3 linked regions of the Sus scrofa genome follow. The protein of the gene in region 2 interacts with the protein of the main gene of each other region in a pairwise test. Links are inferred from orthologs where the notes say so. Each region holds a gene or a part of one and is shown on either strand. Other genes may lie near its edges.

Region 1 (7,503 bases), on a different chromosome or scaffold from region 2:
TGTCTTGTACAGTCACCTAAGTTGTGCACTGCACAACCCCAAGAAGCACCATTCCCAGTGACTGGTATGGATGGTGCTTCTGGAGTCTTGGGACGCAGAGGTCCTGAGGATATCTCTCCTTGACTGCCACTTACTATCCACTAGGGCCCCAGGACTTTAAAAGTAGAAGGGAAGAAAAGCAGAAACACATTCTTTTTTAAAGAACATTAAGTAATTTCTGAAATGATTTCTGACTGGCTGATTTGGATCTTGGTTGGGGTGGAAGGAGGGCAGGAAGAAAAAGCAGGCTTCAGCTTATTTCTTCGAAAGAGCTACTGTTTTTTTTCTTCCTTCTTTCCGTCTTCCTTTCCTTCTTTCTCTGTCCTTTTCACATGTCAGGCTTGTAGATTTCTAAGATTTCCCATCTCCCTTTGGTATTTCCCCAGTGGACCCAGGAAAGCTGTACCAGTCTGTGCTTGGCTCTCTAAGCATCCTGTCCACTAGGGGGCAGGAGTCCCCAGGCCATGCAAGCCTGGCCAGGAGCCTCGGGCTTCAGGAGAGGTGGGACAGGCAACAGAGACTTGACACCAAGTCTAAGTCTTTGTGTGTCAGGCATTCTATTTAAGGAATCACAAGGCCATCTTTAACTCTCAGGTCCCCAAGGGCTTGAGCCACTGTAGGTGACATTGAAAAGAGAGCCTCTGGCATCAACTCCTGACATTTCTTTTCTTTTCTGTCTTTTTAGGGCCGCACCTGCGGCACATAGAGGTTCCCAGGCTAGGGGTGGAATCGGAGCTGTAGCCACTGGCCTACCCCACAGTCACAGCACTGCCAGATCCGAGCCACATCTGCGACCTACACCACAGCTCACGGCAACACCGGATCCTTAACCCACTGAGTGAGGCCTATATCAAACCTGCGCTGCATCCCCATGGATACTAGTCAGATTCATTTCCACTGAGCCACAACGGGAACTCCAACTCCTGACATTTCTTTTTTTTTTTTTTCTTTTTTTGTCTTTTGTCCCCCTGGGGCCGCACCCATGGCACATGGAGGTCCCCAGGCCATGGGTCTAATCGGAGCTGTTGCCACCACAGCAACGCAGGATCCAAGCTGCCATCTACAACCCACACCACAGCAACGCCGGATCCCCAACCCACTGAACCACAACCTCATGGTTCCCAGTCAAATTTGTTTCTGCTGTACCGCGACGGGAACTCCAAACTCCTGACATTTCTACTCCAGCCCTGCAAGGCAGCCTCTTGGGGAGTCCAGACGAGGGTTACAGCCCCCACCCACTCCCTCACCCTCCATCCAAGGCCTCAGTTGGAGCTACAGAAGCCATGTGTCGCCTTGCCCCTCACCCCATTGCAACAAACACGGCGGGGGTGGGAGACAGGGTGTAAGGAGAAACAGGCTGCAGGAGAACGCCCAGGAGCCTACGAGGGACAGGAGAAGTGACATGTCCAGTTGCTCCAAGTGCTGTCCCCATCACTTCTGATCTGAGCTATGTGGCCAGGGGGCAGGTCTTGGGAGATTGTAAAGGGCCAGAAAATGCTGGCACCAAACACAGGCGTCAAAACCGGATGAAGATACAGCACAGCCCACTTTCCGTGCACACGCTGGCTCCCCAGATTCAGCCCAGCCCGAAGACCAGTCTGCGAACCCCCTTGGTTCTGGCTTTATCTACCAGGAACCCTACTTTTCACCAACAGCACACATGTGTGAGTCCAGGCCCAGCAAAGTAACCCAGGTCCTCCACCTGGCACTCTAAACCTGGCCAGTCCCCCAGGACTCGGAGGGGACCCTGGGGAATGACCTCGTCCCCCTGGGAAGCCTAATCCAGTCAGAACCATCAGGGGTGATCTGAACTAGACGCACCTCAAGTGATGGGGAAGGGGTACAGACACTGGGTGACTGTCATCGCCCACGACGGCTTAGTCCCAGGCCTGCAGAGACCCCGTGGAGATGACCACCTATGGTGTACAACATGCCTGGGAAGGCGTCTCTGCTCAGAGCAACCAGCAAGGAGTCGGGATCCATTGGGTACACCATAACCCACGGGTGTGGGCACCCCTGACACAGACACCCACCCAGCCTCCTGACCCCCACCCCTACGCCTGCGCAATGCATACGTGCACACGCTGGCACAAGCCCAGCACCCTACCCCAGCCCAGCCCCCTACTCCAGCCCCCGGCACCACAGGTGCACTCAGCATGACTCCTACCCTCTGGGTGGCGTGGTTCAGCATCTCCTGCCAGGCTGAGTCGAACTGTCGCTTGTCATCCTCCAGCAGCCGCTGCTCGGCCAGGGAGATGGTCTCCTTGGCGGCACGGAGCACCTCCGTGGCCCTTTGGAAGTCCTGGGTGGCTCTCTGGGCTTCCAGCTGTGCCTGTACAAGAGAAAGCTCATGAGGAACCAGACGCAGCAGGGGCTGCTGCTGCTGCTGGCCCATCCTGCCCTCCTGAGGGCCTGGCCCGGTCCTGTCCTCCTGTGCCTGTCCAGCCTGGGAATAGGCCAGGCACCTGCAGGTCCTTGTAGATCCTGGGTGGAGGGAGTGGAGGGTCTTCACAGCCTGGGACCCAACAGACCAGATAAACATGCCAGCTCTGGGTCAGGATTGGAGACGGCAACCCAGCCCACATGCGGCAGGTACAGCTGGCTGGGGCCCCTCCTAGAGCAGCTCTCGTTTGCTAATGAGGTCAGCGGTGGCAGTGCTCCCCAGCCCCATGTGAGAACGAGAAAGGCCCCAGACAGCACCATCCAACGGTGTCACTCTGAATGGAAACCGTGGCTCCCAGAGGCTGGGGCTGCCCTGAGCTCACAGAGCCGAGCCCAGATTCCAGCAGCTCCGGGTCCCACCCCCGGAGTGGTGACTCTGCCAGAGAGGCTCGCACTCCAATCACACGGGCTGACACCAGTGGTGGGTGGGATGGGTGGAGGGAAGGCCCTGTCACAACACCATCCCTGCTTTCAAGGAACGTCAAGTGGGAGAATCAACCGAAACGACAGCCGATAGCCTGGCCTAGGAAGAAAGGAAAACGTGAATCCAAACTGAATGGAAAACACTCCACATTTCAAAGACTTACTAAAGGCTCAGTCCAGAAAAAGAACAGCTATCTCCTTAATAATGTCCATGTTGACCACATGATGAAATGATGACATTTTGTACATACTGGGTTAAAGTATTAACACTAATTCCACCTCCTATTTGCAATTTTTACTGGGACAACTAGAAGACAGTAAGTTCATAGCTGACTCACATTCCATTGCTTTTATACAGCAGAAACACATCCCCCAAAAGTGGACCATGTAATTGCATCCGAAATTGGCAACAAACCCTCATCACTGCTCTTGGCAGGCCCACCTTGAACTCCTCACCAGAGTTCAGGCAAGGCCGTGCCAGATGCTGGTCTGCTGCAGCCTCCTACCCAACTGCCTCGGCTAACTGGATCCCTAAGTCAGTTACATAAACTGGGGACACCCCAGGGGCTGTCCCTGGGACTCAAGAGGCAAAGGGAACAATAGGGCCCCCACCCATCCCCAGAGCAAGTCTCATATGACTGAGAGGAAGTTCTCAGAAACTACAGGCCCAGGACACTTCCCAAAGACAGTTAAAAGGAACAAAATCAGTTGGAGCCCATCAGCCCCCAGGGCGAGGGACAGCTGTGTGACCCTGTGGGTGCCCCCTCCATCCTTCAGTGACCCTGTAACTGGGTCACGCCTGAGCCGACCCTCAGGTGACGACAACCCAGTCAGGGAGATGAACCGGGCATGGACATTCAGAAGTAATAAGATGAGGAGTTCCCACTGTGGCACAGTGGGTTAAGAATCCAACTGCAGCAGCTCAGGTTGCTGAGAAGGCGTGGGTTCCATCCCTGGCCTGTGGATTAAAGGATCCAGCATTGCCACAGCTGTGGCTCAGATTCAGTCCCTAGCCTGGGGAATTTCCATATGCTGTGAGTGTGGTCACTAAAAAAAAAGTCACACAGTGAGGGGACGGAGAAATTCCTTCCGTGGAGAGAATCCAGGGAGACCTCTTACAGGAAGATGACACTGAACTGAGGCCTGGAGACAGGATGATCTGAAAACACGGCTTGGAGGGGAGCAGGGAAGAACAGAATATTTAACCAGGTTGTCTGCAGAAGGCTTGACAAAGACTCCCATCAAGGTGTCAAAAGGGAGTCAGGAATGGAGGCCTTGAGGAGTTCCCCTCATGGCGCAGTGGAAACAAATCTGACTAGGAACCATGAGGTTGCGGGTTTGATCCCGGGCCTCGCTCAGTGGGTCAAGGATCCAGCATTGCTGTGAGCTGTGGTGTAGGTCGCAGATGTGGCTCGAATTTGGCTTAGCTGTGGCTCTGGCAAAGGCTGGCAGCTGTAGCTCCGATATAACCCCTAGCCTGGGAGCCTCCATATGCCGCAGGTGTGGCCCTAAAAAGGACAAAAAAGAAAAAAAAAAAAAGAATGGAGGCCTTGAATGAAAGCCAGGCTAAAGCTTCAAGCATGAGACCTGCTTGCTGCAGACCCCTCATGTGGTCCTGGGACCATGCAGGTGCGCCTCAGTGACACAGTGGGGACCAGAGGCCACCCTCAAGAACTGACATGTGCCCTGAGAAGACACTGGACAGCACACTCAATGCTCCAGAGCCTGGGCTCCAGGCCCACTGCTCTTCCTCCATGGGAGGACAGCCCTCAAGGCCCCCCCTGCCCCACTGTGCTGGAGGGCACCTCCCCCCACTGCACACAGACCACCCACAAACTTCAAACAAGCATCAGCGGGCCATAATTAACCCCACAGGAGTCTACCATTTTCTGAGACGGGATCTGTAGTTGTTAAAAAAAATTTTAGTATTGCAATTCAGCAACATTTAAGGCTAAACTCTTTCTCTAGGTCTCCCTGCTTGGATTGTGAAGTTTTTTTTCTTCCAAGAAAGCAGCAGCAACAACAACAACAAAAAAAGATGCTCTCGTAGGGACTTTCTAGAATGCGGCTGCTGTGACCTGAACCCAGCCCCTCCGCACCCACTGCCATGCATCTGCTGCATTCCAAGGAAACCATGTCCCTACAAACAGGGAAAAGAGGAGGCCCGTCTGAAGTGACCTGGAAGAACATGATCTGTCAACTTCCTGCGGAGTTTGTGAAGTTTCCACAAGGTTCCTTCCCTCCTGTGGTATCAGAAATGTGCCTTCCTTGTCATATTGTGAATCCTGCTAATATGAGGATTTGGTCTATATTTAATCTACAGAAGCCAGATGGCATCTATCACTTATCCATCCATTCATTCAAGTAAGTGCTGGACATCTGTTCTGTTTCTACTCTCTACTCTCTCCATCTTTCTTGGTAACAGAGCCCTCATGTCTCCAGGTGAAGCAATGTCCCAGCCAAGACCCTACTTCCCAGTTGTCATGATAGCTAGTTACTTTCAGCTAATGAAATATAAACGGACACTGAGTGAGACTTCCAAGAGCACTCCTCCTGTCTTTCCATCTGTGATATTAATACAATGGCTGGTGCTTCAGCAGCCATTTTGGATCATGAGGCAACTCTAAGGATGAAGGAATAGTAAATTAGGTCCCTGCCCTAAGTTGACTTTTTACAGGACAGAGACGATAAAATCTCATGTTTAAGCCAGTGTTATTTGGGGTTTTCTGTTATATTTAGTCAAATCCCAACCTAAATGATAATACACCTTCTCATCCTCAGATGAGCTACTCTGCAAACCTGACAGACATGACTACAGCAGTCTACATAGACTGGTCAAATCTCCTTCAACTTCTTTCTGGCTGCTCACAGCCCATCCTATGACTATTAAGCCCAAGGAGACAAACTTTAGGGGGTTTCCTAAAGAATTCCAAAGATCATGGCCTCTTTGTAAGGCATTTCATAAAACATTTTCTAAAGCCACACACACGAGGAAGGACCAGGCATGCGCACACAAGGGGCAGGAGGGGAGCATGCCCTCTCTCCCCCACAGCAGGACGGAGGCCATTCAGCATTGATGAGGAAGCTCTTAATGCCAAGTTCTGGGCAGGAGGGGTCCACACCAAAATAAGGGGTTCTGACTCAGCTGGGTAAGCAGAATGCTCATTACAAACTCCAAAACAAGATCGCAACAAGTGACAGAGGAGTAAAGCACATGGGAATATCAGAAAGAGAGAGTAACTTGTCTCAGGTTTCTTAGACAAAGGGAAGAGTCCTCGGACGAGAGGGTGTCAGGCACCAGGCTTGGCCATGGAACAGGGAGCATCCAAGAGCTTACACATGTCTAACTGAGGAGGCCTGGCTTGGAGATCACTTGCCAGGGACCTAACAGGATGCATGACAGAGCCAATTTAGAAATTCAGAAGCTAGTTTAGAGTCCAGAAAAGAGCAGGCTACCTAGTTCTCTCCATCATATGAAATCTTTGGCACAATCAGTGATGTTGTACCTTCAACTCCAACAAAGGACCCAGGCCCTGGTATTAATGCATTATCTGGATAAGAGACCTATACTTGCAAGCTCCTGGGTGTGAACATAGCCCAGAGGCTCATTCATGGCAGGGAAACCCAGGTAGCAAGAGCTGAGGCCTGCCTGGCACCGCACTGAGGAAAGGCTGGCAGAGCTGGGCTTGAGCTATAAGATGCAACACAGGAAAAATGTCAACTCTATTCATGACTCATGAGCGCTATCGGCTTTCAGAGAGACAGCTTTATAGAAAAAGCATTAAAAGCTGCTCGTGGGAGTTCCTGTTGTGGCTGAGCAGTAATGAACCCGACTAGTATCCATGAAGAAGTGGGTTCAATTCCCGGCCTTGCTTAGTGGGTTAAGGATACAGCATTGTTGTGAGCTGTGGTGTAGGTCGCAGACTAGGCTCAGATCCCGAGTTGCTGTGGCTGAGGCGTGGGCCAGCAGCTGTAGCTCTGATTCAGCCCTATCCTGGGACCTTCTATATACCACAGGTGCAGCCCTAAAAAGCAAAAACAAACAAACCAACCTTGCTAAAACTGTATCTGTGCCTCCTCCCCCAGCTCAAAGCCCATGGAGAAAAGTCCCAGATGCCTCTCCAAGCCGTCTAAGGAAGAAGAAAGACCCTTGATGGCCCCAGCAAGGAGGGGATGTCCAGGACGAATATCAAGGTGGGCAGGAGACAGGGCGTCGTTCTCAGCTTTACTCGAACTGTCCTATGCTCTGAGCAATGCAAGAGTCTAAGACTTTCGATTCTGAAAGTTTCCTCCTGCCACATCCTTTCAAAGCTGTCTGAGGTTAATGGAAGAGTAGCCAGAGATGGGCATCAGCAATTTTGACCCTGAGGATATTCTGGACAAAAACATGTTTTTGTTTTGTTCTTTTTTTTTTTTTTTTTTTTTTAAAACAGCCGCACCTGCAGCATATGAAGTTCCAGACCAGGAGTCAACGCAGAGCAGCTGCAGTTGCAGCTTACACCACAACGGCGGCAACACCACATCTGAGCCAAATTTGCAACCTATACTGTAGCAATGCCAAATCTTTAACCCACTGAGCGAGGCCAGGGATGGAACCTG
Region 2 (7,503 bases):
CAGACCGCCAGCAGGGATCGAAGATGCTTTAACAAATTCTATTCCTTAGGAATAAAAGCTAACACAAGAGGTGATTTCCTGGTACTGATAAAAGCAAAACCAAACCAAATCCATATTACATCAAAGCCTTGTGAGACATTCACTTGCTCATTTGCCATATTTAGACGTTAGTGGAATCAGAAAACCTGTTGTGATATGTGTTCTCCATGAGTTAAGTCTAATTTGTCTTTTCATTTCATGATGCATGTCTTTTTTTTTTTTTTTCTTTTGTCAGGATAACATCATATAGCATCTTGTTTGTTTTTTTCTCATTTCTATGTACATATCTATCTACTTGCGACTGTAGATGGGTATATAGATAGATGCCAAGCTTCTTATGTTCTGGGGGTAGTATGCACCATTACTGGGTCTCTGCTTTGAAACACACCAAAATTCATTTTCAAAAAATACGGCTTCATCCTTGGTCATTAGGGAGCCCTGACATGTATTTCTGGCTCTAAATTATGTGTCATTGATTTATATGTATATATGTGATGTGTCCATATATATATAAATTTTGTATCATCAGGACTGATAAACAATTTGATGTTTTTTGTATTCAGAAGACCAAAACCAAACCAAAAAAAAGCCACATAAGCACACAAGAAAGGTGTGCTATTATGTTTGTGGCATTTGTCGTCATACCTATTTTTGTCTAGATTTTTAAATTGTAGCTTGCCAAGACATGTTTTTAATTATAATTGGATTGTATCAGAAGAAGAAAAGCTCTTACTCTTCTGAGTTATGGTGCAGAGACTCAAGTTAATGAACTTGAAAATAGTGTTGCTTTGTGCACTTAGAATACCAATCAGGTGTTTCTTGTGCTACTAGTTGTCACGTTGCATTTCTGTTCACCTCCTGATTGAAATATCTCAGGTGTACCCAGCCACTAAAGCATTCTGGACTAATCGCTAAGGAGAAGCAACGTGGGGTGGGGGCAGGGGCGTATCCACATGTACCCACTGTTTGGTCACAGCACTATGATTTGCTTTTGATGTTTGTCTCTAGTGGTGTGTTGTCTGTTGGCATGCTTAAGCACATGTCCATTAAAATTCATTTTGTTCCTTTTATTTTCCTTGTTTTCTTGGTTACTGATTCATTTGCATAAACATTACTCATCTGTGCATTACTGGTTTGGGGTTTTCTCTTTCCTTCTAACTCTAAAGGAAAAAAAAATTTTTGCTGCAGAATTTCCCCTAGAAGAGGCTTCCCCTGGCCTTCACCTACCTTGAAGTCTGACCAAGTATGACAAATTATAGCATTCTTCCAGTAAATCTTCCTCTGTCCAGGTCCTTGCTGTCACTAGCAGTTTTCGAGTCACACCTGCAGCACTAATTTTTTTTTTAACCTGGTTTCTATACACACTAACCCCATGTCTCCCTGGACTCATGCCTGGTACAGGCCTTCCAGACCAATCTCACACTCGCTCCCCATCAGAAGTTTCCTGAAACCTCCCATTAGAACAGATTTGTCAACTTTAAAATCCACTCACTTCTTTTTGACTTAAGAGTTTTGTGTTTTGGTTATTATTCCCCCCTCTGTCTCTCCTTTAAAAGTGAAAGGCAAGAGAGAAATATGTAAATAGCCTTTTGCTCATAAGCTCATGTCCACAGGCTGTCACTTGCAAGTCCAGGATACTCACCAGGCATCTCCTGCCCTAAGAATCCATTTTTTCCCATTGCTCTGTGGATAAAGAGTCCTAATCAAAAGTACCCTTCAGTTGCATAGCCTCTAGTCTCACCTTGAGCCCTGGTGCTAACAGTGATAGTTTCATAGACAGAATAAAAACTTGATCCCCACCCCACCCCTTAGAGAAGATCTAATGGAGCGACCCAGTTCCTGAGAATTGACATCTGAGTGTACAAGCAGAGGTGGCCCTTCTGCCATTGGTCCTGTTGAGGTGGTTGCCGCTAATTTGGTGTCACTTGGCTCCGGGCAGCAGTGGTGGGGGATGTACCTAATGAGCGTGCCATTGACACCTCCATGTCTGTCCGTGTATGAGGGGTGCAGGTCGTCTGTAACCCACTAAAGCGTCAGCCACACCCAGCTTTAGTAACTCGCTAATCCCACGCCCTGGGTGTATCAGCCAGGGGCCGCTCCAGTTCATGGTACCCAGTTGATGGCACACAGGCTGAAAGCGATAATGAACGGAGACCCTGCTGCATTGCCCAAGCCGAAAAGCCAGGAGGGTTACAATATAAATGAGCTTGGGAAGGAACAGCTCCCGAAGACGTCTCCAGCCTGGAGGGTCAGAGCCGCTGGAGGCCTGGCTGTCTGGGCTTTCTCGTCTCAGTGCAGCAAGGCACCGTGATCAACCAACACGTGATGGGGAAGGCCCTGGTTCTGTCTTTGTTTGGGGGTAAATAGCCGTGTGGTGTTGAGTGACTGTGATTGGCTTTTCCAGCTCCTTTAACACAAACTACAACCCACTCACGATACAACTTGGGCAGATGTGGTTACATTGATGTTTGTTGACTTGCCTCATTTCCTTCCAGCTCTTAAGTCCCAAAGTCTAACGGGGATGGTAGATGTGAAGTGCATGATTGCCGTCCTAATTTCTGCATGTGTTTATGACGATGTGTCGAGGGGTGGGGGAGGAGAGCCGGAGAGCATTTTCAGAAAGCAGAGGTCTTTCTTGTCTGACTTTGGGGGAATGCTGTGTAGTTCTGATAGAGTTATCTATCCATCTGTTTGTGAATGCCCTTTCGCTTCAACTTCCAGCCCTTCTGGTGGCGTCCTTGGTTGTAAGGTGGCTGCTGTATAACGTCCGCTCTCATATTTAATATGTGTGATTGTTATCGTTGTCCTTTTGTTTTAAAGTAACCTTAAGAGGAAATGATCTGAGTTCTCTTAGAGAAAATGGATTGATCAGAGGAGCAGAGTGCAGTAAAACTCAGCCTAGCATTTCGCTTTTCTCATTTCCCCGTAAACGGGCGGGTATTAATCCATCCCCACCTTCTAATGTCCCTGGTGTCCAGCTGGCTTTGTGGGGTGTGCGATGGTTTTACTGTACTGCCTCGATCTGTGCCAGGCATTTATACACAGCCACGTGTGCGAGTCAGAGCGTATGTGGTCACCCCCGGGGCTCACGGGGTCAGCTGAATGGCCTCTCCGCTGTCCCTAGATGGCAGAAACGGTGGACACGAGTGAAATGGTCAACGGCGCCGCAGAACAGAGGACAAGCTCGAAGGAGTCCAGCCCCATCCCCTCCCCAACCTCCGACCGCAAAGCCAAGACCTCCCTCCCTGCCCAGAGTGCCGCCACCTTGCCGGCCAGAACCCAGGAGACGCCCTCGGCCCAGATGGAAGGCTTCCTGAATCGGAAGCACGAGTGGGAGGCCCACAACAAGAAAGCCTCAAGCAGGTAACAGCAGCAGAGGCTGAGGTGGTCCCGTGGGAGGTCGGCTCATTAGAGGTGGCGGCAGGCCGCTCCTGCTTGAAAGGGGGGCGACACTGGGGAGTGGGCATGTGGCACTTTTTATTCACGGAGAGAAGTGGGAGTTCCGTGTGCGTGGAAGTGTCAACAGGAGGCCTTTGTTCTCCTGAGAAGGAGTGCTCTAGATTAAGGTGCAGGAGTGTTCCCTGGAGTGAAATGACTTCACTGTTGCTTTCTCTTTGAGGGGTGTTTTAGCACATTCCCCACTTCCCCTCCCTTACCTCCATATCCATCTGTATATTTGTTATCTCCCGGTAGCCTTCCTTGTATTGTTTCCATTTACAAGTGAGAAAAACAGAAGCTCTGAGAGGTTAAGAAAGCTCACCTTGTATAGTAACGTAGTAAATGGCAAAGCTAGGGTGAGACTCATCTGACTCTACAACCTGTGTGCTTAACTGGTAAGCTAAACTGCCTGGGGGGCCAGCATGTGTGGTTGTCCATGTTGTACACTGTACAAGGAAGTCCCATCTGAGAGCTGCCATCCACGTTGAGGACAGTATGGACTTATTTGCCAGTACAGTTGGGTGGCAGTAAAGTGCCTTGTTCTAAGAAAATCAGAATATCCTGGCCATTTGCCATGTCATGGGGAAAAGCCTACCTTTTTCTAATTCAGTGCTACCATAAGTGCCAATGGCCCTGGATCTGCCTCCCTGTCAGGTTGCCAGCCCACATCAGAGAATGAAGCTAAGGCTGAGGAGCTGCTTAAGGACAGGCATGTTACCAGTAAGGAGCCTGGCCTGTACCCCATTACCACAAGAGGGTGCTGCGGCAAAGAGTACCAAACACCAACCAGAATTTTTCCCGTCAGAGCCAAGAGTACCTTTATTTAATAAAAGAAGGCACTGTGTCTTTCCTCAAATTCAGAGTGAGAAACAACCCTCAAAAGCCTGCCACCATAGCAACAGGTGCCTTGTCTCAGGCAAACACATAGGAATAAAGTTCCATTGTTTCTTTTTTTTTTTTTTGTCTTTTTGTCTTTTTGCTTTTTCTAGGGCCACTCCCGTGGCATATGGAGGTTCCCAGGCTAGAGCTGTAATTGGAGCTGTAGCCGCCAGCCTATACCAAAGCCACATTAACGTGGGATCCGAGCCGCATCTGTAACCTATACCGCAGCTCACGGCAACGCCAGATCCTTAACCCACCGAGCAAGGCCAGGGATCGAACCCGAAACCTCATGGTTCCTAGTTGGATTCATTAACCACTGCGCCATGACGGGAACTCCTGTTGTTTCTTTTTTAGCAGAATTTAGGAAGGACTTTTAACAAGAAATCAGAGAATGTTGTGTGGGGATTATTTTCATCTTAAACTCTTGGTTCTTGAAGGGAGTGTGCAGCAGAACCCTGACGTCCCTTTCTTTACTGCTCAGGTCCTGGCACAATGTTTACTGTGTCATAAATAACCAAGAAATGGGTTTCTACAAAGACGCAAAGACAGCTGCTTCCGGAATTCCCTACCACAGCGAGGTCCCTGTGAGTTTGAAAGAAGCCATCTGTGAAGTGGCCCTCGATTACAAAAAGAAGAAACACGTGTTCAAGCTAAGGTGAGGGTTGTCAGAGTGGGTGTGTGTTCATTTTCACCCTCGGGGATCGTTTCCTTAGACGGATGCTATCATCCATCGGTTCCTCTCTCTCATTTAAAATATCACTGATAGGAGTTCCCTTCATGGCTCAGTGGTTAACGAACCCAACTAGGAATCATGAGGTTGCGGGTTCGATCCCTGGCCTCGCTCGGTGGGTTAAGGGTCCAGGATTGTCGTGAGCTGTGATGTAGGTTGCAGACATAGCTCGGATCCCGCGTTGCTGTGGCTGTGATGTAGGCCAGTGGCTGTGGCTCTGGTTTGACCCCTAGCCTGGGAACCTTCATTTCCTGTGGATGCAGCCCTAAAAAGAAGAAAAAAAAAATCACTAATAAAGCAACAAACTGGATAGACACACACCTTGGTTAGGATGCTGGGCATTGTGGCCTGACACCAGCATATTGGTGGTTAATGGAACAGCTGAACACTGAAGAAAAGGAGCTTTCACTTTCAGAAGCTGGAATTTAGTGTTTCCTAAAACATGGTGAGCTGTTCACATTTCACAGTTTAAGGGAAGCTTAGAAAAACAGCTTCCCCATCTTTGCAGTTTATCCAGACCCAGGAGATGCTGTTCTTTACTCGTGACTTATCTGGAGATGGGTCAAGTGAGTCATCCTGGAGCCGGATGGAGACAAATAGGAAGCCGGGGTGGGGTGGGGTGGTGGTGGTGCTGTGCTCCCCTGACCCAGCGGCTGTTCCAGATGGTCCCAGAGGCATCTGGTTCCAAGTATCTCTACCCTGTAGAATACAAACAGCCCCCCACAAGAGAGGATCCAAGCTCAGGAGTTCTGCTTATACTTGGAAATGGAAAGAAAAAAAAATCAGTTTTTTTTTTTTTTTTCTTTCTCTTGCTTTTTTGGCCATGCTTATAGCATATGGAAGTTCCTGCCACAGCAGCAACCTGAGTCACAGCAGTGACAATGCCAGATCTATAACCCACTGAGCCGCATGGGAACTCCCAAAGTCAGTTCTTCTTTAAAAAGAATTTAAAAAGTAAACATGTTAGTGAACATGTTGACTGGTTGCTTTGGATCTGAAAAGGTTGGGTCCTCAGTTTCATGTGTGTCTCGTGCCAGCTGGACAAGGCCAAGGACCTCGAAGGAGAGCAGTTCAGATGATGTGATGTCTTGAGCTCTGTTGACAGGCATATGGGCTCCAAGGGACCTGGGACACCTTACACACTTTAAGGCCAGGAGCAGATGGCCAGCCTCCCTCTTTGTACTTTCTTGATGCAGCTTCAGAGGGTCGGGGTATTGACGAGGACACCAAACCCCTGTGTACCCACAACACCCCTTCGTCTTGACTGCAGCAGTGAACTAGGGTACCTTCCCAGCCAGTGGCCTTTCTGGGTGGTGACCATGGCCTCGCAAGGGCAGTTTCTTCCATTCTGAGACATATGTGAGGGAAATCTAGGAGACTTTTTCGGTGTCAGTTTCGAAAGTATGGTATTTGTAAATGTGGCAGATGTAAGTTCAGGGCAGAATTTCAAGAGGGCTCAAAAGCTTTTTAAAGAGCTTTCTGTTACATTCAGTTTAAAGCAATGATCAGACCCCCAAGTAGTCTTAGCCACGACGGATCCAGGTGTCGGTATGCCTGGAACTTTTTTGATCCTTCCCATGATTGAACCACCCCAGTACCTGTGTCTCATGGCCCAATTATCTGGCTTCTTGAGGTCCAGGGGCGGCTGCTGGGCCCCAGCGGACTCTGATGGGCATTGCTGGTATGATCCCTGTGACCTGCTTGGATCCCACATAGGATATGCCGCCGGCTGGGGGAGATTTTTCTCTTAAGTTATACTGTGATTGACTTTCTTCCTTCCAATTACAGACTAAATGATGGCAACGAGTACCTCTTCCAAGCCAAAGATGATGTAAGTTTCTAAGATGTATTTCTCTCAAATACTTGGCTTGGGTTTGTGGGACGATGAGCTTTATTTCTGATGGCCTTCACATAAGTGATGACCCGTGGTAGCTTCTGTCCTGAGGAGGCAGCGAAGATCATCTCACTGTCCTGGCGGGGGAGCTAACACAGTCCCTTGAAGTGCCTGGGAACGAACTGCCCTCCCCCTCCCAGTGGTGAGGCACAGGGAGATGGTCTCAGGACTGGTTGTAGATCCTGCAGCCCAGTCAGGAGCCTCCCCACTGCACCCACTGTACCCCATTACTTTTAACTAAACTTTGCATGGCTGTGCTTCTCCTTGAGGGGAGAGCAGGTTGGCTGCTGAGGCAACAACATGTGTTGGGCTTTGAATTTGAAAAAGCAACCTCTATTAAAGGTATGCAGTGTTGTATTCCAAATACATTTCAATTTTTTTAAAAAAAAAAAAAGAAAAAAGCATCTTCTAAGGTGGGACCTGACCCCCTGCTGTGGACCAGTGTTCCAGCTCGTCCAGGTCTGTAGGGCCACACGCTAGAGTGAGGACCTTCAGGTACTGTAAACGGAATTCGGGTGCG
Region 3 (7,503 bases), on a different chromosome or scaffold from region 2:
ACTGTGGCAGTGCTGGTTGCTTCAGAGGCGCAGGTTCAACCCCTGGCCTGGTGCAAAGAGTTAAAGGTGCTGGTATGGCTGGCATGGCTGGCATGGCTGGCATAGGTCAGCAGCTTCAGTTTGGATTCAATCCCTGGCCCTGGAACTTTCATATGCTGCAGGTGTGGCCATAAAAAAAAAAAATTGGAATAACTCAAGAGTATATTTCCTGACCACTGTGGAATTTAGCTAAAATTAATAACAAAAAAATTACCAACTACTTCTACAAATATACTTCAACACACTTGTCAAACACACTTTAAAATTATTAAGCATAATTTTTGTTGTCCTCCCAAAAGTGAATGACATATTTTCAACATTATTCAGTTTAAAATATTCTAATTTTCATTGTGATTTACCCTCAATCTCTTAAAGGCAAGAGTCCTATTTTAATTCATCCCTGTGTCCATTACACTATTTACTAAAATACTCTGAACATAAAAGATTCTACTATGTTTGATTAAAATGACATATCTTATAAAAACATAAGATAGATATGATATGAAACCAAATTATTTAAAAGCTGACACACTTCATAATGAAAAGATATTATAAACATTATAATTACAGTAATAATTATAGCATCTAACCTTTACTGTGCACTTACTAAATGCGAGACACTATGCTAGACATATATATATTATATACATTCTCACTATTAAGGATACAGACTATACGCATATTTTATTACATAATATTTAAAAAAATCTTCCAATTGCTGAAGTGGAGAGTCATATTTTGCTCACCCCCATCAAGTGTCTTGACTTCTTTTTATTTGAGAAAGTTTCTGGAGAAGGAGCATTTCACAATTTGATTTGAACTTTTGCTTTACAAAGTGATTTCTTAAAGGCTCGGATAGTAGAAAAACTTTAGTTTCTACTTACGTACCTCATGTAAACCCAATTCCAATTTCATCACCATTTCAGAAAGATGACGATTTTCTAATTTGAGTGACTCCAGCTGATTCAAAATCTCCTGAGAAGGGAAAATAGAAAAAATAATAGATAAAATAATCAGTTAAATCAAATGCATCTTATATAATTTTTCCACATGTAATTTTCATTAAGTGAAGTTATATTCTTCATGCATATATACGAATGATTTCTAAAATGCTTTTTGAAAAGGTGTTTCAAAATGACTTAAAATGCACCCAATTGGAACATTATTCTAACATGATGACAGGGCACTCCTAACTCCCTAAGCACTTCTGTGTCGCCTACTCTTACTGGCCTCTACCTCCAACAGCATGTGGACTACACTCCTTGCAAAAGGTACTAACTTATTTTTAGTGCCCTTTCTCCTTAGCTTTTCTGCTTGACCATCCCTACTTTTAGCTTTCTGCTTCTCCTGCAAGGACTATGTGGTTTCCTTCCTTACTGCTACTTTTCTTCTTAGCTCCATTCCAACACCTTTCTACTCTAAATGAGTAGTTTCCTAAGTTTGGTGCGAGTCTCTCCTCTTCATACCCTCTGCTTTCTCATAATCCTCTAATTCTCCCAGGGTTTCAAACATCGACCTCATGCAAAATGTCTTACCTTGATTTTAATCTTGAACTCCATCCAAGTCTTCTGGAGAACTGACTCCAGAATTTATATATTTCCATATGAAAGTCCAGCCTTTATGTCAAACCAATGTCCCCTCTGCCAACTTCCCTACTTTGTATACCTTTGATGCAAATTCATTATCCTGCCCAAACCTACTCCCTATCTTTTCTGCATTTCACTAAAAAGCATCACTTTCTATTCCTGTTGCCCAGGCTGGAATCCTGAGTGACATCTTTCCCTAACTCTAATTCATTCTTCCTGTCCAATCAACTGAACAAAGACCAGTCCATTTTACCAGCCAAGTATCTCCAGAATTCATCCATTTCCCTCTGTCTCCCATGTACACTGCTCAGGCCACCATCTTGCAGCTGTGATAGAATCTAAGTGGTCTCCTTGCCTCCGTGCTTATTCTCCACAAGACAGCCACAGAGACCTCTTATTCCTGCTTAATGTCATTTTCTACAGGCCCTCGAGGTAACACGAAAACTCCTGCACAGGTTGGCAAGGCCCTTCTGGAGCTGATCCCTGCATTCCAGTCTCATCCCTTGCCACTGGCCCTGCCTGAGCTCTAGTCTGTCTCAGTGAACATGGCTCACCCTCACTACACACCACAGAAACTGTCTCATCACGTGTCTGTATCAGCATCTTCTCTTACCTCCCCACCGATCTTCACTAGATAAACCAGCCCACCCTCAACCTGAAGAAGAGGACTAATAAAAATTTACTGAATTAAATACTGTGGAAATTATACTTTTAATAAACCGAATCTTCAAAAACAAACTTCAAATAAGGAGTTTTAGTCCTGGAGTTCCTGTCGTGGAACAGTGGAAATGAATCTGACTAGGAACCTTGAGGTTGGGGGTTTGATCCCTGGCCTCCTTCAGTGGGTTAAGGATCCGGCGTTGCTAGCAGCTGTGGTGTAGGTCACAGACGAGGCTCAGATATGGTGCTGCTGTGGCTGTGGTGTAGGCCAGCAGCTACAGCTCCAATTAGACCCCTAGCCTGGGAACCTCCGTATGCCATGGGTGAGGCCCTAGGAAGACAAAAAGACAAAAATAAAAAAGTTTTAGTCCAAGTTTCACCTTATGCTCTACTGCTTTTTCTTCTGCCTTTTGTATCTCTACTTTAAGTCGCCTTTCCATGTCAGATGAAGAACTTTTGGTGGAAGCAATAGTGATATCTCGCTGATGTAACTCTCGAGTTAGTTGGGAAATCTCCATCTTCATTCCTTCTAGGACAGAACTATAACTCTGTTCGGCCTGTAAAATCTGTTCTTTCAACTACAAAGAAATAGAAAGCATGAAAAATTGAGAGAAAATATATAGACAGAAAAATACATTAATAGTTAAAATAACAAAGTAATTTTTACCTTACCTCAAGACATAAATTTCCCTGATTAAATCTGTAGAAAATTAGCAAGTTTACCAAGTTGCATATCTGTATTGAAAGTCAGATGGCTATACCCACAATTAGTTATTAGATCTTAAAACAGGGGGAGATGGGGAGTTCCTTTTGTGGCTCAGCAGGTTAAGAATCCGACTAGAATCCATGGGGATGCAGGTTCGATCCCTGGCCTCACTCGGTGGGTTAAGGATCTGGTGTTGCCTCAAGCTGTGGCATAGGTGGCAAATGTGGCTCAGATCCTGTGTTGCTGTGGCTGTGGCGGAAACCAGCAACTGCAGCTCCAATTCAACCCCTAGCCTGGAATTTCCATATGCCACACATGTGGCCCTAAAAGAAAAAATAAACAAACAAACAAAACAAAACAGGGAAAGATGGGTTACTCAAGTGCTGAGAACCAGTATTAAAGCCCAAGTATACATTGTTTAGAGGACAGCTCCTGTAACCTTCATTCTTTTTTCAGCTGCAAATCTAAAATTTTTGCTTATATGGTTTCATAGTCCATAGAAGATAACAGAAGAAGAAAGGGGCTAGAAGTAATCTTGAAGAAGTAATAAAAAATCTGAGTCAACAGCCAGGACCCATTAACATAGAGATAAACTCTGCACACGTCATACGCCATTTCGGATATAACTACCCATAGCACACCCTCATCATCACCTTCAGTCAGTAAGAAAATATTCAATGCCAGCTCACATAATGTGTTTGTGCATGCAAGGTGTGTATCTTTTCTTTTCGTCTTTTCAGAGCTGAATCCATGGCATGTGGAAGTTCCCAGGCTAGGGACTCAATTGGAGCTACAGCCGCTGGCCTATACCACAGCCACAGCAACTCCGGATTCAAGCCACGTGTGTGACTTACGCCAAAGCTCATGGCAACCCCGGATCCTTTAACCCACTGAGCGAGGCCAGAGATCGAACTGACATCTTCGTGGATACTGGTCGGGTTTGCTATTGCTGGGCCACAATGGGAACTCTGAGGTGTGTATCTTTTAGAAAACTTTTCATCAAGACATGTTTAAAATATAACTGGAGTTCAAAGGGGGCAGGCTTCAATTATCTGGAAAATACTTACATAGCATATCCCTGAGGATGACATAGAAGGCACTCTCCTAAGCACCTTTCAGGTACTCTCTACTCCTGAGCATCAAATGGGCTCTGCACTACACACTTTTCTCTCCTTAAAAATACTCCTGTAATCTCCAACCCGCAGCTCAGGCTGTAAACACTCAGGGCTCTGCAATCCCAGGCATGTGGACCTTTACCTTCTTAATCTCAGCCCTGTACTCATTGTTATGCACTTCCATCTTCTTCAGCTCTTCATATTTTTCCATTAGCTCTTGGCTCAGCTGTTTACATGTAGCACTCACAGATTCCAAGCTGTAAGACAAAAATAAAATTATGTATTTAAAACAAAATGAAAACCCTGAAACCACTGAAATCAAGTTATTTTACTTTGTTGATGTCTAAAGAAATATCCTACAATAGATGCAGAAAAAGCCTTTGACAAAATCCAACACCCATTTCTGATAAAAACCCTTCAGAAAGTGGGCATAGAGGGAACCTACCTCAACATAATAAAGACCATATATGACAAACTCAGAGCTAACATCAGCTTTTCTCAATGGTAAAAAGCTGAAAGAATTCCCGCTGAGATCAGGAACAAGACAAGGATGTCCGCTCTCGCCACTACTATTCAAAATAGTTTTGCTAGTCCTAGCCATGGCAATCTAAGAAGAAAAAGAAATAAAAGGAATCCAAATTGGAAAGGAAGAAGTACAACTATCACTATTTGCAGATGACATGATACCATGCCTAGAGAATCCTGAAGACCCTGCCAGAAAACTGTTAGAGCTCATTAATGGATGTGGCAAAGTTGCAGCATACAAAATTAATACAGAAATCAAGTGCATTTCTATATACTAACAATGAAAGGTCAGAAAGAGAAATTAGAGAAATAATCCCATTTATTATCACATCAAAGAGATTAAAATACTTAGGAATAAACCTATCTAAAGAGACAAAAAACCTGTACTCTGAAAACTATAAGATGCTCATGAAAGAAATCAAAGGTGACACAAACGGATGGAAACACATATGATGTTCTTGGACTGGAAGAGCCAATATTGTCAAAACGACTATACCACCCAAGGCAATCTACAGATTCAATGAAATCCCTATCAAATTACCAAGGACATTTTTCACAGAACTCGAACAAAATATTTTAAAGTTTGTTTGGAAGCACAGAAGACCCAGAATAGCCAAAGCCATTCTGAAAAAGAAAAATGGAGCTGGAGGAATCAGGCTCCCGGACTTCAGACTATACAACAAAGCTACAGTCATCGTGTGGTACTGGCAAAAAGACAGAAATATAGATCAGTGGAACAGCATAGAAAGCCCAGAATTAAACCCGTGCACCTACAGTCAACTCATCTATGACAAAGGAGGCAAGAATATACAATGGAGAAAAGACAGCCCCTTCAATAAGTGGTGCTGGGAAAACTGGACAGCAACATGTAAAATAATGAAATTAGAACACTTCCAAACCCCATACACAAAAATAAATCCCAAATAGATTTAAAAAAGCTCAAAATAGATTAAAGAATTAGATATAAGACCAGATAAAACTCTGAGAGGAAAACATAGGCTGAACACTCTCCAACATAAATCACAGCAATATCTTATCAGATCCACCTCTTAGAGTAATGGCAATAAAAACAAAAATAAATAAATGGGGGGAGGAGGCAAGATGGCGGAAGAGTAGGGGGACACACTCGCCTTCTCCCACAAACACAACAAAAACACATCTACAGGTTAAGCGACTCACACAGAACAGCAATCAATCGCTGTCGGAAGAACCTAAACTCCAATGATGGCAAGAATCTCGTGACATAACTGGGTAAAACAAGAGAAAAGAGGAGAGTGAGAGAAGGGGAATCCGAGCTGGATAGGTGCTCCCAAAAGGGAACTGTGGAGGAGAAAGGGATCCCACACCCTGGAAAGTCACCTACTCGATGGAAAGATCAGCCCAATCGGAGGAATCTCCAGATACAGAGAAGAGTGCAGCAGGAAGTCGGAGTTCTGAAAAGCAGAGTGAGAACCGAACAGATCATCTGAACTACTGGCACAGTCACCAAAAATTGAGACGCTTGGGTCGGGGCTGGGCAGAGAGACCTCGGCTCCGGAGGTTAGTCCCCTGGAACGGGTTGGGGTGGGTGGTGTGTAGACTGCTTGTGGGGAGGGCCTAGTAACCAGTCTGTCAGGTTTTACAGGGCAGAGACTGTTTGGGAGACTAGAAAGCAGAGCATTGCAGGGGGAGGGAGCAATACACTAAGGGCTGGGAAGTGGAAAGCCACATCAGAGGGAACCTGGGAGAAGAACTGGATCTGCAGGAGAGACAAGGCACCAGTGTTGGGGAGGGGAGAGAAGAAGGGGTGGGCTACCATAGAATACTCCCCATGCCACAGCGAGCTCACCAGCCCACCAGCTATCAGAAAGCTGTGCTTCCCAGTGCATCCCCCCTCCCCCTACCCCTCACGTGCGCACTGGACCTAGGGCTGCCTGCCATCCTGGAGGGCTGGCCTCAACATTTGCCAGAAGCCTACCACTGCAGGGGCTTTCCCTGCCCTGGCCTGCTTGCTCTCTAGAGGGGCTACACCCCCGCAGAGCAGCATCCAATACTGGCAGCCGCTGGGAAAAGGTCTGCAGCCCAGAAAAGCTAGAATAAGCTCGGCCAGGCTGTGAAAAATCTGCCTCCATTCTCAGGCAGTCCTTCCAAGTCGGGCTGCCCTGGGGAAGAGCCTCTTGGGTTCTGAGCTGCCCAGCTAGCTGCTTCAGCCCTCGGGGGGTGCTGCACTCCTATGGAACAGCTGCCCAGCACCGCCAGCCCCCTGAAAGAGCCCCACAGCCCAAAAACACCAGAGCAAGCTCTGCCCAGCCAAGTGAAATCTGCTCCCATCATGGTGCGGACCTCCCAGTCCTGTCTGCCCTCAGGAAGTCCTCCTTTGCCTAGAGAGACCCTGTCAGCCCCGCCCACCCTCTGGAAAAACCATGCTGCCTCAAAGAAGACTGACCAACAACGCCAGCCCTCAGGAAACATTCCACAGCAGTGCCAAGGCAAATACTGCCTGGCCACGGAGAATACAACTCCACCAGGAAAAAGAAAACAACAAGCAAGATGAAGAAGCTGAGAAACCACCCCCAGTTAAACCAACAGGAGAACTCACCTAAAGCAGTCAACAATGAAACAGATCTCTGCAGTCTGACAGACCTGGCGTTCAAAAGAGAAATAGTGAAAATACTGAAGGAATTAAGAGAAGATATGAACAGTAATGCAGACACCCTCAGAAAGGAACTAGAAAATATAAGGAGGAGTCAAGAAAAACTAAAAAATCCATTTGCAGAGATACAAACTGAAGTAAGGGCAGTAAAAACCAGAATGAATAATGCAGAAGAACGAATTAGTGATATGGAAGATAGAATAATGGAAATCCCCCAATCAGGTCAGTAGACAGAAAACC

What was found. The genes of interacting proteins can lie anywhere in the genome.
Region 1: the proteins of SPTBN1 (region 2) and SH3BP5 interact in a two-hybrid assay, tested with the Homo sapiens proteins (2 studies listed by BioGRID and IntAct). The link is inferred for Sus scrofa from reciprocal best matches to the Homo sapiens genes SPTBN1 and SH3BP5.
Region 3: the proteins of SPTBN1 (region 2) and CEP63 interact in a two-hybrid assay, tested with the Homo sapiens proteins (2 studies listed by BioGRID and IntAct). The link is inferred for Sus scrofa from reciprocal best matches to the Homo sapiens genes SPTBN1 and CEP63.

What each region holds. Positions count from the first base shown.
Region 1 is NC_010455.5:2,517,536-2,525,038, forward strand, and holds part of SH3BP5 (SH3 domain-binding protein 5), read right to left. Parts: intron 2,372-7,503; coding exon 2,207-2,371; intron 1-2,206. UniProt on the Homo sapiens protein: Functions as a guanine nucleotide exchange factor (GEF) with specificity for RAB11A and RAB25. Inhibits the auto- and transphosphorylation activity of BTK. Plays a negative regulatory role in BTK-related cytoplasmic signaling in B-cells.
Region 2 is NC_010445.4:86,586,738-86,594,240, reverse strand, and holds part of SPTBN1 (spectrin beta chain, non-erythrocytic 1), read left to right. Parts: exon of another isoform or gene 1-274; coding exon of another isoform or gene 275-289; exon of another isoform or gene 290-3,163; coding exon 3,164-3,402; intron 3,403-4,840; coding exon 4,841-5,014; intron 5,015-6,877; coding exon 6,878-6,920; intron 6,921-7,503. UniProt on the Homo sapiens protein: Fodrin, which seems to be involved in secretion, interacts with calmodulin in a calcium-dependent manner and is thus candidate for the calcium-dependent movement of the cytoskeleton at the membrane.
Region 3 is NC_010455.5:75,691,104-75,698,606, reverse strand, and holds part of CEP63 (centrosomal protein of 63 kDa), read right to left. Parts: intron 4,364-7,503; coding exon 4,249-4,363; intron 2,864-4,248; coding exon 2,666-2,863; intron 1,015-2,665; coding exon 928-1,014; intron 1-927. UniProt on the Homo sapiens protein: Required for normal spindle assembly.